3 linked regions of the Sus scrofa genome follow. The protein of the gene in region 2 interacts with the protein of the main gene of each other region in a pairwise test. Links are inferred from orthologs where the notes say so. Each region holds a gene or a part of one and is shown on either strand. Other genes may lie near its edges. The genes, in order: ATF4, CEBPG and CEBPE.

Region 1 (4,142 bases), on a different chromosome or scaffold from region 2:
GACTGGAACATTTATCTGAAGAAATCAGTCATCAGCAGTACGTTCACTACAAAATAATTTATTGCAACACACAGCTAAAGCCCTAGCCTATGTACAAGCACATGCACACCCCTGCCCGGCAGCTAGGGGGCGCGTTTCTTCCCCGTGCCTTGCGGACCTCTTCTATCAGATCTTTGAGATACTGAATCTCCTTGGCCAAGGAATCTGCCTTCTCTTTCAGAGCTTCGTTCTTCTTTTCCAGCTCTTTACATTCGCCAGTGAGGGCCTCCTGCTCTGCCCTCTTCTTCTGGCGGTACCGAGTGGCTGCTGTCTTGTTCTGCTCCATCTTCTTCAGCTTCTTATCTAGTTTCTCACCCTTTACTTTTGCTGCTACCACCTTCTCTCCAGGAGGATCATAGGGTTTGGGCCGGACAGAACCACAAGGGGCCCCGGGAGAGAGCAAGCTCCTACTTGGAGAGGCCCTGGAGGTGGAGGGACTGTGCTGGGGAGAGCCCAGATAGGAGTCAGGGCTCATACAGATGCCACTGTCATTATCTGAGGGGGCATCCTCTTCCTTTATGCATTGAGGAATCAAGGTAATGTAAGTAGTGGAGTCTGGCTTCCTATCTCCTTCCGAGATTTCCACTTCACCCTGTATCTCTAAACTAAAGGAATTATCTGGAGTGGAAGACAGGGCCCCTGGGGAAAGGGGAAGAGTTTGCAAGAACGTAAAGGGGGCAACCTGGTCAGTTGTTGGTAAACTTTCTGGGAGATGGCCAATTGGGTTCACTATCTGCGGGGGCTCCTGGAGTGGGGGGTCAAAGAGATCACATGTGTCATCCAACGTGGCCAAAAGCTCATCTGGCATGGTTTCCAGGTCATCTATACCCAACAGGGCATCGAAGTCGAACTCCTTCAGATCCATTTTCTCCACCATCCAGTCTGTCCCGGAGAAAGCATCCTCTGCAAGAGATTTAAGAGGGACGGAACCCAGAGTCAGATGCACGCGGCAGCAAGGCTTTATCACCAGACCCCACCGGCAGGGAAAAGCCCACTCACCCTTGCTGTTGTCTGAGGCACTGACCAACCCATCCACAGCCAGCCATTCGGAGGAGCCCGCCTTAGCTTTGTCGCCGGAGAACCCATGAGGTTTGAAGTGCTTGGCCACCTCCAGATATTCGTCTAAGAGCCCTAAGCTCTCTTCAGCCCCCAAACCCGACGGGTCGAAGGGGGACATCAAGTCCCCCACCAACACCTCGCTGCTCAGGAAGCTCATCTCGGCCATGTTGCGGAGTTTTGATGGAATCGAGGAATGTGCTTAATTCGAAGGTGTCTTTGTCGGTTACAGCAACGCTGCTGCTGAATGCCGTGAGAAGCCTTAACAGGAACCAGAAACCAAGCCCCATTAGAGAACAGCTGGTCTGAGCCTTTCGCCTCTCCACCCCCGGGGCAGGACGGCCAAATCCCGACCCCGTGTGGTTGTTGAGACTTGGGGGCCGCTGGCCCCGGCTGCCAACCTTCCCCGCGTCCGCCTGGCGGCGCAAGATGGACGCCCGGCCGTTCCCCGACCCGCCACCAGAGGAAGGCGCCCGGTCCTCCCGGCCGAGTCCGGCCCCGCCCACGCCCGCCCGTGACTCACGCCGCGGCCGCCGCCCTGCCCCGCCGCCATCTTGGCTGCTGCCACGTTTCGTGGAGCCCCAGGGGGAGCCCCGGCCCCCCGGCCGGGGCCGGAGGTACCGAGGACTTCGCCCCACGCCCGAACAGCGCAGCGGCCTCTCGACCCAGGGGCGCTGGCGCTTCGGCGTCACCCCATCAGCGGCCACGCGTCCCGGGCGCTCGTAAAACCGCTTCCCCCTCCGCGACGCCGCCGGACCGCGCCCCAGCATCAGACAAGAACCCTTCACCGACCCGGGGGGACACGGCCCAGAGCGTCGGGCCCCGGTACTTACGCCATGGCTTAAGCCGCTGGGGGGTGCCGCTGCAGAGCCTGGTGCTGCTGCCGCCGCTGCAAAGGCCAATGCTGCCGCAGGCACTGCTGCCTCTAATACGCCATGGCGGCCGCGGACCCTGCGGGAGCGGAGGAAGAAAAGCGCCCACTCGCAGAAAAGGACTACATCTACAGCGGAGAGGAAAAGAAATGGCGGCGGTTCGCCGAGCGCGGGTCCTTTATAGACTCTGCCTCTGTGGGACGCATCACAGAGAATATTCTTCCGCCTAGGTCACGTGACCAGCGCCTCCCACCCACGCGCTTTCATTTAACCGACGCCCCTACCATTTCCAGTCTCTGACTTTTATGTCGAGGGCGAAACTGTGAGGACCAAATGAGTTACTTTTATTTACAGCCTCAAAAAAGGGCGCACTACTTTACAAGGCTTTTGAGATCTAAGGATCACCACCGTCCGCTGCCGGGATGCGCGGAAGGATCTTGCACAGCTACTTCCGGTGCTAGCCCGAGAGGCGGAGACGAGTCTTTCACCCCAAGAAGGGCTTTTATTGTGAAGTACGAGGTCTCCTGGTTATCGCGCGAGCTACTGGCGGAGAGCGCGCGTCGAAATGATTGGTTAGGCATGGTGAGTCATATATACATCGAGTTTCTATTGGCTCAGGCTCCGAGGCGGGCGGGTTGTTCAGCGAGGGAGCCCCTGATCTGCGCGGGAAGGTGGGTGAGGTTCCCGCCGCCGGGCCCCGGCGTCCTGCTCGCCGTAGCGCCGCTCTGCAAAGGCTCCCTCAGCCCCGCCCACCCAGCTGGCCTTGATTGCCCCGGGCAGCCCTGGCCCAGATCCAAATAGTGGCGTTAGGTCCGAATCCTCGTGGTCCTTTCCTGCCGCCCTTGGAGAAGCTCCGAACTAGGGACCGGGTTTAGGCCCGAATGTGAAACTAGTCAAGAGTAAATGTTATTTCGTCTGTTTTCACTTGCACACACTTGCAGAATACTGAGGACGTGTGAACCCTTCAGTAACTGGAAGGGGAGACTGATGACCTCAGCTGAGATCCACCTACCATCAAAGGCCTGCTCTGCGTCCTGACTCAACTCTGTAGAGGCGAGTCGAGTGGAGGAAATCCATAATCCTGTGGTCTAAACAATTGTATTTTTACATATCCATTCTGCTAAAATACAAGTTTCCTTTTATGTTAAAGAATGAAACCTATGACAGGGGAACTTCTTTCAGTTTATGTAGTTTCACTTCCCCTAAAAATGAGGTATTTTATTTAGCTGCTCTTTCTCACTCTAGGGTAGTTTCAATTATTTACCAACTCTGTAACTCCGCGGCATAACCACTTCCCAGCAAGTCCTACTGCCTGGGTGCTTGATCAGACCTGCCCACTTAGGGGAATTTGTGTGTTTGGAGGCCACAGTCCAGGTTAGGGCCAGTAACTTGCCCTCTCTACTGGGGAACTGTCAAGAGCTAGGAGAAAGCTCTTTCACCATCTTCCAGTCCTCCAATCAGGCCCTGTAGGGAAACCTTGAGTTTCCACTCCCCTTCATTTCAGTGGGCCCTACAAATATTATTTCTATGAGGACAGTGAGGTCAAAAATTGGTCAGGCACTTCCTACATAACAACTAACCATTCATTGATTTGAGTCAGTCTAGCCCAACCATTTCTTTACAGTGGTAAGCTGATGACTAAAGGCATGACATGTCTTGCCTGGTGTGGGCAGTATGGGGTAGGAGTTATGACAGATTTAAGGGCCAATTCCAAAAAATCTTGGCTTTCCCATTTATTAGTGGAGACATTCTGGTTAAGTGACTTACCCCCACTGAGTCTTCGTTTCCTGATCTGTAAAACGAGGCTAATGATGGGTATCCTCATCCTTAGAATGAAGTTAAGATAATATATTCACAGCACTGAGCCGTGCGCCTGGTACCTGGTAAGTGCTGGATAAATGGTTGCCATTACTCCTGTGACTAGAACGCAGGTCTTCTAACCCACCTCCCATCCCCATCATATCCTGCTCCCTCAGAGGACTGTTATTTACTGAGATGAAATCAACAACTATAAACAGCTGGTCTAGGAAAGCATACTGGATACTAGGTATGGTTTTTCTTTCCCCTTGGGGAATCTCAATTCTCTGGAAACATGTACAAGGCATCTGGTCTTTTGGTGCAAAGACAGTAAGAATCCCGAGCCACTACCCCCGAGCCACTACCCAAGTCTTCCAA
Region 2 (3,532 bases):
CAAACTGAGGAAAGCTAGGAACAAAAAGAAAAAGTACTTTTTCCTGAGAAGCAGATCTAACAGCTACAGAATGGATTTTCTTCCTTCCTAGCTTTTGTCAAACAAAAATTTTTTCCTGTTTCGAAGGCATCAAAAACACTCTCCGAGTGCTTTAACTGGGTTGTTCAGGTCTCAAGCCCTCTAATGGGGATTAAGAAACATCAAAAGCTGCTACGACTTCCTTTAATACCAAATATTAAATTGTACATACATCTTTATGTAAATTTGGGAATTTCACACTCATGATCTGAATTTCAAAAATCTGATCATGTTATTAAAATCTTACCCACTTCTCACTGTAAATTAACTATACTTCGATAATTTTTTTTAATCTTACTACTCCTTAGTAAGAATGTCCAAAGTTATCTGAGCTCACCTCTCAGTGTAAAAGAGGCCAGACAGCAGGACAGGCTGCTCTGATCGCACACACCACCTGCAGCCAAGACCAGTCAGAAAGCACCTATCCCGGAAGACTCCGATGCAGCCAGAAATTTATAGTAAACCTAATTCCTAAACCAGAGACCTGCCAACCAAGGCAGATCATTCCTAATGGTTCATAGGTAACCTACAGAACAAAAGTTACAAAAGGCATTTACAATTCCCAAAGCTCTAAACTTACCCATCCCCTGTACTTGGCTTCCCTCAATTTTATACTGATAGACTAAAAACTTCCATGCCCAAACACTTCGGTAAGGTAGTCAAGACAACGGTTACATTTCTGTTCTATGCATGACTGCTTGTGCTAGCTTTGATTTGCACAGGAAAAAAGACAGCTTAAATCAATTTTTTCCCAAAGTTACGATCTGATTTTCTTCTTTGAAATAACTGAGTACACACCTGATGATTTCCCTAAAGCTTCTCTTCCAAGACAGCTAAGTCAGTTCATCTAACTGGTAACAATAAATTCTGTGGGGACATCAATTTCTGAAAGATAATCCTTTAGTAAGTAAGAGATTTAAATGTCTGTAGCACCCCTTACAGGTGCTTAAAGATTCCAGGGGCCTAAGTGCATCTCCAATGAGGGCTATTAAAGACTCAGTAGGATTCAGGTGGTATCTCCTAGTTAGTTACTGAAAAACATCTGTCAACTTACAAGTACACTGAGACCCCAACCAATAGTAAACCGATGTTGGACCCTAACAGAAACCCCTACTGTCTCCTGGCTCGACAGGGAGCTAACCCTACTGGGACAGTGGCTCTTACGGAACAATACAGGATTCCTGTCACGGGCAGAAAGGCCTTGCTCCTGGCCTTTAATCATGGCTTTGCTGAGTGCCAGGGGTCTGTGATGTCCTCCCGCCCAGGGGAAGGGCACAGACAGCACTCTTTTCCCAACTCAAGGGCGCCACTTGAGTTACATCCTGATGACACTGTCCCGGGTCCTAGTACAACATGGCCCCAAATGACCATGTGCAAGTGAGATACCTGGCAACACAAACTTTAATCAGATGGGACTCAGTCTCTTATCACCACCACCACCCTCACCAAAAAAAAAAAAGGAAAAAAGAAAAAAGAAAAAAAGACAGACACCAACAGATTTGAGCTAGGTTTGTGCTTAAAAGAGCCAACAAGGACAATGAAAACTACCAACAACATTGATATAAGCCAGACCCTAGAGATTCCTGTCTTTAGAGACTGCCATTTTTTAGTCTCAACAAAAATGTCAGTATCCTGAGTTATTATCAGTATTTTCTTGCTAAAATAATTTATGGGACATACATGCATACAAATGAAAAGTGGTACAAAAGTCTCAAAGAACAGCCCCACTAACTAGAAAAGGAAATGTCACAAAAACCATATAAAAAGATGTGTTTAAGTGAAATAAATTAAAGGTTAAACTTTATACTTTCAAGTTTTCTTAAACTATTATTTTGGGAGATGGCATGGAGTTGATGTGTTTTTCTAATCATCAGGTCATTAAGATCAAATACCATATGATCCTTCACAAGAAATTTTTGCTTTTAAAAACTGCGGCCCCGATGCAGTATGTCTGAACACAGGAGAAATTACCTGCTGAAATTAATATTCAAAATCCTAATCAGCAGCTTGTGTGGTCATAACTGTTATGACATTTTGTTTACTAACCTGGCTGTCCAAATGGTTTTGTCTTTAAAAAAAAAAAAGCTTACTTTACTAGCATCTGTAGAAACTAAGATTTTGGTACACAAGTTTCTCTAAACCACTGAACTGTTATGGGTTTTTTTTATTTTAGCAAAATAATGCCAATTCAATAACCCAAAGGCATCCTAAAAGTGTAATTCTAATATGCTCTGCTTTTATTTTTTATAAACCTATTTGCTTCCTAAATACTATTTAAGTTTTTAAGCCAACTGGCTGCATACTGCCTTTAAAATGCAATGGGGTTTCTTTACTTAACCTGACATTGCTATTCAAAAGCTTGTACTTGCTGGGGAAAGCAGTACCAATGATGCTAAAACGAGGTTTATACTATACATAAAATCACTCCACATTACAAAGTGATTGGCTTCTATAGCCCTAAGCATTTTTAATACATAATTTAGAAAAAAGTCACAAATGGATTAACAGAGATGGCATTCAACTTGTCTCCATCCAATTTACCATATCGATGAAAACCAAGAACTTACTGCATGACTTGCCAGTTCCCCATTCCTTTTGTCGACCTTAAAAAAAGAAACATTCCTTGGGAAGTCAGGATGTAATTAAGAACATAAAGGTCCAGGGAATTATTTTTTTTTAATCTATCCTTTAAAAATGTTTTTTTTTAATCCCCAAAGAAATCCTCATAATTTAAAACCAGATATTCAAATTACATGGCTAACGTTTCCAGCTAATCAACTCTTCAGTGATGATCCTAGAAAACAACCTTCAACGCATCTCTAATGGCACAAGACAAGGTTCAGCTGATGATGTGAGTGGTGTCGGCCGCCACACCTTTTCCGTTCCAGCCACAAGCTGTGAAGTTTGGAAGGGGGGAGGCCTACTGTCCTGCACTATCCGAATTCGTTGTATTTTCAGTGCTACTGGGTTGCACGTTATCTGCAAGGTTGTGTGCATGCTCAAGAAACAAATCCTTCAGTACACTTAATTCCTTAGTCAGCAATTTAATTTTTGCTTCCAACCGTTCATTCTCTTCCTTGAGCTGATTCACTCTCTGCAGTGTATCCTGGGCTTTCTGCTTGCTTTTCAACCGGCTCTTTTTCACAGCCATGTTGTTCCTCTCTCTGCGCTGCCGGTACTCATCACTGTTGCGATCCATGGGCGAACTCTTCTTGCTCTGCTTGCTTGGAGGCGCAGCTTTGCCTCCGCCCCCAGGGCCGGCGGGCACCAGCTGCGGAACCTGCTGTAAGCCGCTGGCATGCGCCTGAGTGTGAGTGACAGTTAGCCCGTTCAGCACCGGGGGAGCACCAGAGGTCTGCGGCGACACCCTGCTCATTTGGGCGCTCTCCCTCGTCAGCCCAGAGCAGGCAGACATCCGGGCCAGGCGGTCAGATCAACGGTCTCCACGCTAAAC
Region 3 (4,267 bases), on a different chromosome or scaffold from region 2:
ATGGCAAGGCCTTAACTATCGTCACTATTTGGGGTGTCATTTCTCCTCATGAAGACAAGGGCCTGGCCCCAGTCTTCTCTGCCTGCACGCTCTTCCTGCAACTGCACTGCGAGCCCCATCTCAGCCATGTTTCCTCTTCCTCCTTCCAGGCGTCTGGCCCTTGCCAGGGCTGTGGGAAGCTGCCCTCTGCCGGCTACCTGATTCCTGACTGCAGCAGCCCCTCAAGTCCTGAATTTTGGACGAATATTACCACCTGGTGGTTAAATGAGACACTGCTGCCAAACTGAAGCAGCTCAGCTCTGAGACCTGTTTGTCACAGGGTCCTTTGAAATGGAGAGAAGGCAGAAATCTCCCCCATCTGGGTACCTGAGCTCTGTCTCTTGGATGCAAGCAGATCTCCCCATGCCAGCTCGGGACCTTCAGAGAAAGTACCTCAGACTGTACACAGAAAGCTCCTGGGGGAGTTCCTGTCGTGGCTCAGTGGTTAACGAACATGACAAATATCCATGAGGACGAGGGTTCGATCCCTGGCCTTGCTCAGTGGATTAAGGACCCATTGTTGCCATGAGCTGTGGTGTAGGTCACAGACGCGGCTCAGATCTGGCATTGCTGTGGCTGTGGCATAGGCCAGTGGCTACAGCTCTGATTGGATCCCTGGCCTGGGAACCTCCATATTGCTGTGGGAGTGGCCCAAGAAATGGCAAAAAGACAAAAAAAAAAAAAAAAAAAAAAAGAAAGAAAGAAAAAAGAAAGAAAGAGAGAGAGAAAGCAAGCAAGCAAGCAAGCAAGCAAGCTCCTGGGGGAGGTGGAGGGAGGGGATGCTAAGTAGAGGGGTAGCTTGCCTGATTTGCAGGGAGCCCTGTCTCAGGCTGCCTACGTTATCTTTATTTATTTGCTTTTTGTTTTTCAGGGCCACACCCACAGCATATGGAGGTTCCCAGGCTAGAGGTCTAATCAGAGCTGTAGCCGACGGCCTACACCAGAGCCACAGCGACACCAGATCTGACCCACATCTGCAAACTACACCACAGTTCACAGCAATGCTGGATCCTTAACCCACTGAGCGAGACCAAGAATCGAATCCACATTCTCATGGACTGTAGTCGGATTCTTTTTTTTTTTTGGTCTTTTTGCTATTTCTTGGGCCGCTCCCACGCCATATGGAGGTTCCCAGGCTAGGGGTCCAATCGGAGCTGTAGCCACCGGCCTACACCAGAGCCACAGCAACGTGGGATCCGAGCCACGCACGTCTGCAACCTACACCACAGCTCATGGCAACGCCGGATCGTTAACCCACTGAGCAAGGGCAGGGACCGAACCCACAACCTCATGGTTCCTAGTCGGATTCATTAACCACTGCGCCACGACAGGAACTCCAGTAGTCGGATTCTTAACCTGCTGAGCCACAATGGGAATTCCTGCCTACTTTTTTTAGCATTTAGTGCCACATGTAGCTGCTCCGCATTTGCCCCCTTATGGCCTGACCCTTGGTGTGCCTGACTTATTAAACCTTCTGGCCTCCACAGGGCACGGACAGAATTTGCTGGTGACAAAGATCCAGTAACATATTTCCACATGTCCTTTCCTTTGCACCGCACCCAGAGTCCCTTTTGCAGATACAACAGGTAAAAGCAGGGCCACAGCAAGTGCCTCTGACAGGAGGGAGTGGGGAGTTCCCAGAGGAAAGAGAAAAGGGAAGAGAGAGGGGGCCCAGCCTGAGACCAAAAGTGCAGAGCGAGCCATGGGCTTCTCCTGGAGACCCTGAAACAGAGCCCCAGGAAGAGGTGATGACAAAAGAGAAGGCTTCTCAACCCTCACAAGAGGAAGTGGACCCAAGAGACACGCATAGAGGTCAGAGAACGGCCATGCAGAAGGAAAAACAGCAAACCGAGCTGCAGCGAGCGCCTGAGCCCTGCGGCCCAGGCACAGGAAGCGGGCAGAGCCCTCAGGACCCAAGGAGGGCAGAGCGCCAGCCTGAAGCTCTGGCAGTGCAGGCCGGACGCTGGAACCACGAGAGGAATGTAGCTGCCAGTTCCTGGGGCAGCAGCCTGCTGGGCCCTGGAGCACAGGGCCTAAGCCCTGAGCAGGTGCCTCAGCCAAGCCTGGGCAGTCACAGCCCATGCCAGGCTGCTAGCGCTGGCCCAGGCTGGAAACACGTGAGGGCTTGGGCTCTTGCACAGAGCCGGTGCAAAAACCTAGCAAAAGAGCCTCCTCTGCATCATGAGACGGGGCCTCGTATAAGGCTTAGTCCCAGGCTGATAACTACTTCCTAGACCCCTCAAACAACACCCCTTGGCCTGCACCCCGGAGAGTGGCTCAGAGAGGTGGGGCTACAAAAGGAACTGAGCGGCCCTGGGGGTAGGTGGAGCCCAGCCCTGGGAGGTGGGGGGGACTGAGAGGGAGGCGTGTCAAGGGAGGAGCTCAGATCAGGCTGGGGGTCGGCACTGGGAGAGGGTTTTCTCTGTTCGTTCTGACGGGGCACTCATTCTGCACAGGACTTTTTGGAAGTCGGAGGGAGGAGGACACTCAGAGTGAGGGGTTGCCCTCAACGGGGATTCCAGAATCTCCCGGACTCGAATGAGAGGGGGAGGCCTCTTCCCAGAAGCATCAGCTTCTGGGCATCTCAGAACCCTGGCTCAAGCCTGACCAGAGTGCCCCCCTACTGCGAAACAGGCCAGGGCCCCCATTTCTCTAAGGCCTGCATCCCTCCCTCCGGGGTGCGCCCTGCCCCTCCCTGAGTCACCCCAGGGAGAGAGGGGAAAAAAGGGAAGAGAAAAGAGGCATTGACTACAGAGGAAGGAAAAGGAAACAGCAGAGGAGGGAGGAGAGGCCACGCAGGAGTGGGTGACAGAGGAGATCAGAGAGGGCAGATCTAGGGCAGATCTAGGGCAGGGGGAGATAGCAAGCCGAGCATCCCAAAGGGCGCCCCAAGAGCAGGCCGCCAGGGGCGGGGAGCTGAGGGGGCGGGCCGGCCATGTCCCACGGGACCTACTACGAGTGTGAGCCCCGGGCTGGCCAGCAGCCACTCGAGTTCTCGGGGGCCCGAGCGGGGCCTGGGGAGCTAGGGGACATGTGTGAGCATGAGGCCTCCATCGACCTATCTGCCTACATCGAATCTGGGGAGGAACAGCTCCTCTCCGACCTCTTCGCTGTGAAGCCAGCACCTGAGGCCCGAGGCCTGAAGGGCCCCGGAACCCCTGCCTTCCCCCACTATCTGCAGCCTGACCCTCGGCCCTTCGCCTACCCCCCACATACCTTCGGCCCCGACAGGAAGGCCTTGGGGCCTGGCATCTACAGCAGCCCGGGGAGCTACGACCCCAGAGCCGCCGTGGCCGTGAAGGAGGAGCCTCGGGGGCCTGAGGGCAGCCGGGGGGCCAGCCGCAGCGGCTACAACCCTCTGCAGTACCAAGTGGCTCACTGTGGGCAGACGGCCATGCACCTGCCCCCGACCCTGGCAGCACCCAGCCAGCCCCTACGTGTCCTCAAGGTAAGAGCCGTTCGCTTATCCTCCCCGCCATCCAGGGTCTGGGGTCTGTGTGGATGGGGTCTGTGTGTGGCGTTGCTCTGTGAAACCCATCCACCCCAAGCCCCCTGCGCTCACCACCCTGTCGTGGCCCCTCTTGGCTTCTCTGGGAATTCACTCCCACCCTGATCTCCACTGTGTGGCTGACACCGATGTGTCCTGCAGTCCCTCTGGCCAGCTGACCTGCCCTGACCTCAGGGCCCCCACCAGCCTCTCTGCCACCCATCAGTCTCCACCACTCATTTCTGTGCTGCCTCCTGCTTCTTGAAGAGGAAATGTCTGCTAATGGCAGAACTGAAAAGTCAAGATAGTTGGAAGGAAAGTGTCCTCAGAGAGTGTGGGGAGGCGAATGGGAGTTTGGATCAGAGCAGAGGACCTCGTGCATCTGGCAGGGCGATGGCTGTTCTGACCGGGAGCTAGGAGCTGGCTCTGAACCCCACATCCCTCTGATGCCCCAAGTGTGCTCTGCCTACTGGGATGTCTACCCTGCCTCCACTCTGCTTCCCAGCAGCCCTCACTCTTGTCCCTCTGTTCCTTCCCCTCCAGGCCCCTCTGGCCACTGCTGCACCCCCCTGCAGCCCCCTCCTCAAGGCGCCCTCCCCAGCTGGCCCCTCACACAAGGGCAAGAAGGCCGTGAACAAAGACAGCCTGGAGTACCGGCTGCGGCGGGAGCGAAACAACATTGCCGTGCGGAAGAGCCGGGACAAGGCCAAGAGGCGCATTCTGGAGACGCAGCAGAAGGTG

The links.
Region 1: the proteins of CEBPG (region 2) and ATF4 interact in binary tests that used the Homo sapiens proteins (3 or more experiments, as listed by UniProt). The link is inferred for Sus scrofa from reciprocal best matches to the Homo sapiens genes CEBPG and ATF4.
Region 3: the proteins of CEBPG (region 2) and CEBPE interact in a two-hybrid assay, tested with the Homo sapiens proteins (2 studies listed by BioGRID and IntAct, with this or other methods). The link is inferred for Sus scrofa from reciprocal best matches to the Homo sapiens genes CEBPG and CEBPE.

Annotation. Positions count from the first base shown.
Region 1 is NC_010447.5:8,742,926-8,747,067, forward strand, and holds ATF4 (cyclic AMP-dependent transcription factor ATF-4), read right to left. Parts: upstream 2,828-4,142; 5' UTR 1,929-2,827; intron 1,357-1,928; 5' UTR 1,265-1,356; coding exon 1,039-1,264; intron 943-1,038; coding exon 83-942; 3' UTR 39-82; downstream 1-38. UniProt on the Homo sapiens protein: Transcription factor that binds the cAMP response element (CRE) (consensus: 5'-GTGACGT[AC][AG]-3') and displays two biological functions, as regulator of metabolic and redox processes under normal cellular conditions, and as master transcription factor during integrated stress response (ISR).
Region 2 is NC_010448.4:43,171,391-43,174,922, reverse strand, and holds part of CEBPG (CCAAT/enhancer-binding protein gamma), read right to left. Parts: 5' UTR 3,494-3,532; coding exon 2,999-3,493; 3' UTR 1-2,998. UniProt on the Homo sapiens protein: Transcription factor that binds to the promoter and the enhancer regions of target genes. Binds to the enhancer element PRE-I (positive regulatory element-I) of the IL-4 gene. Binds to the promoter and the enhancer of the immunoglobulin heavy chain.
Region 3 is NC_010449.5:75,925,197-75,929,463, forward strand, and holds the start of CEBPE (CCAAT/enhancer-binding protein epsilon), read left to right. Parts: upstream 1-1,455; 5' UTR 1,456-2,974; coding exon 2,975-3,487; intron 3,488-4,069; coding exon 4,070-4,267. UniProt on the Homo sapiens protein: Transcriptional activator. C/EBP are DNA-binding proteins that recognize two different motifs: the CCAAT homology common to many promoters and the enhanced core homology common to many enhancers.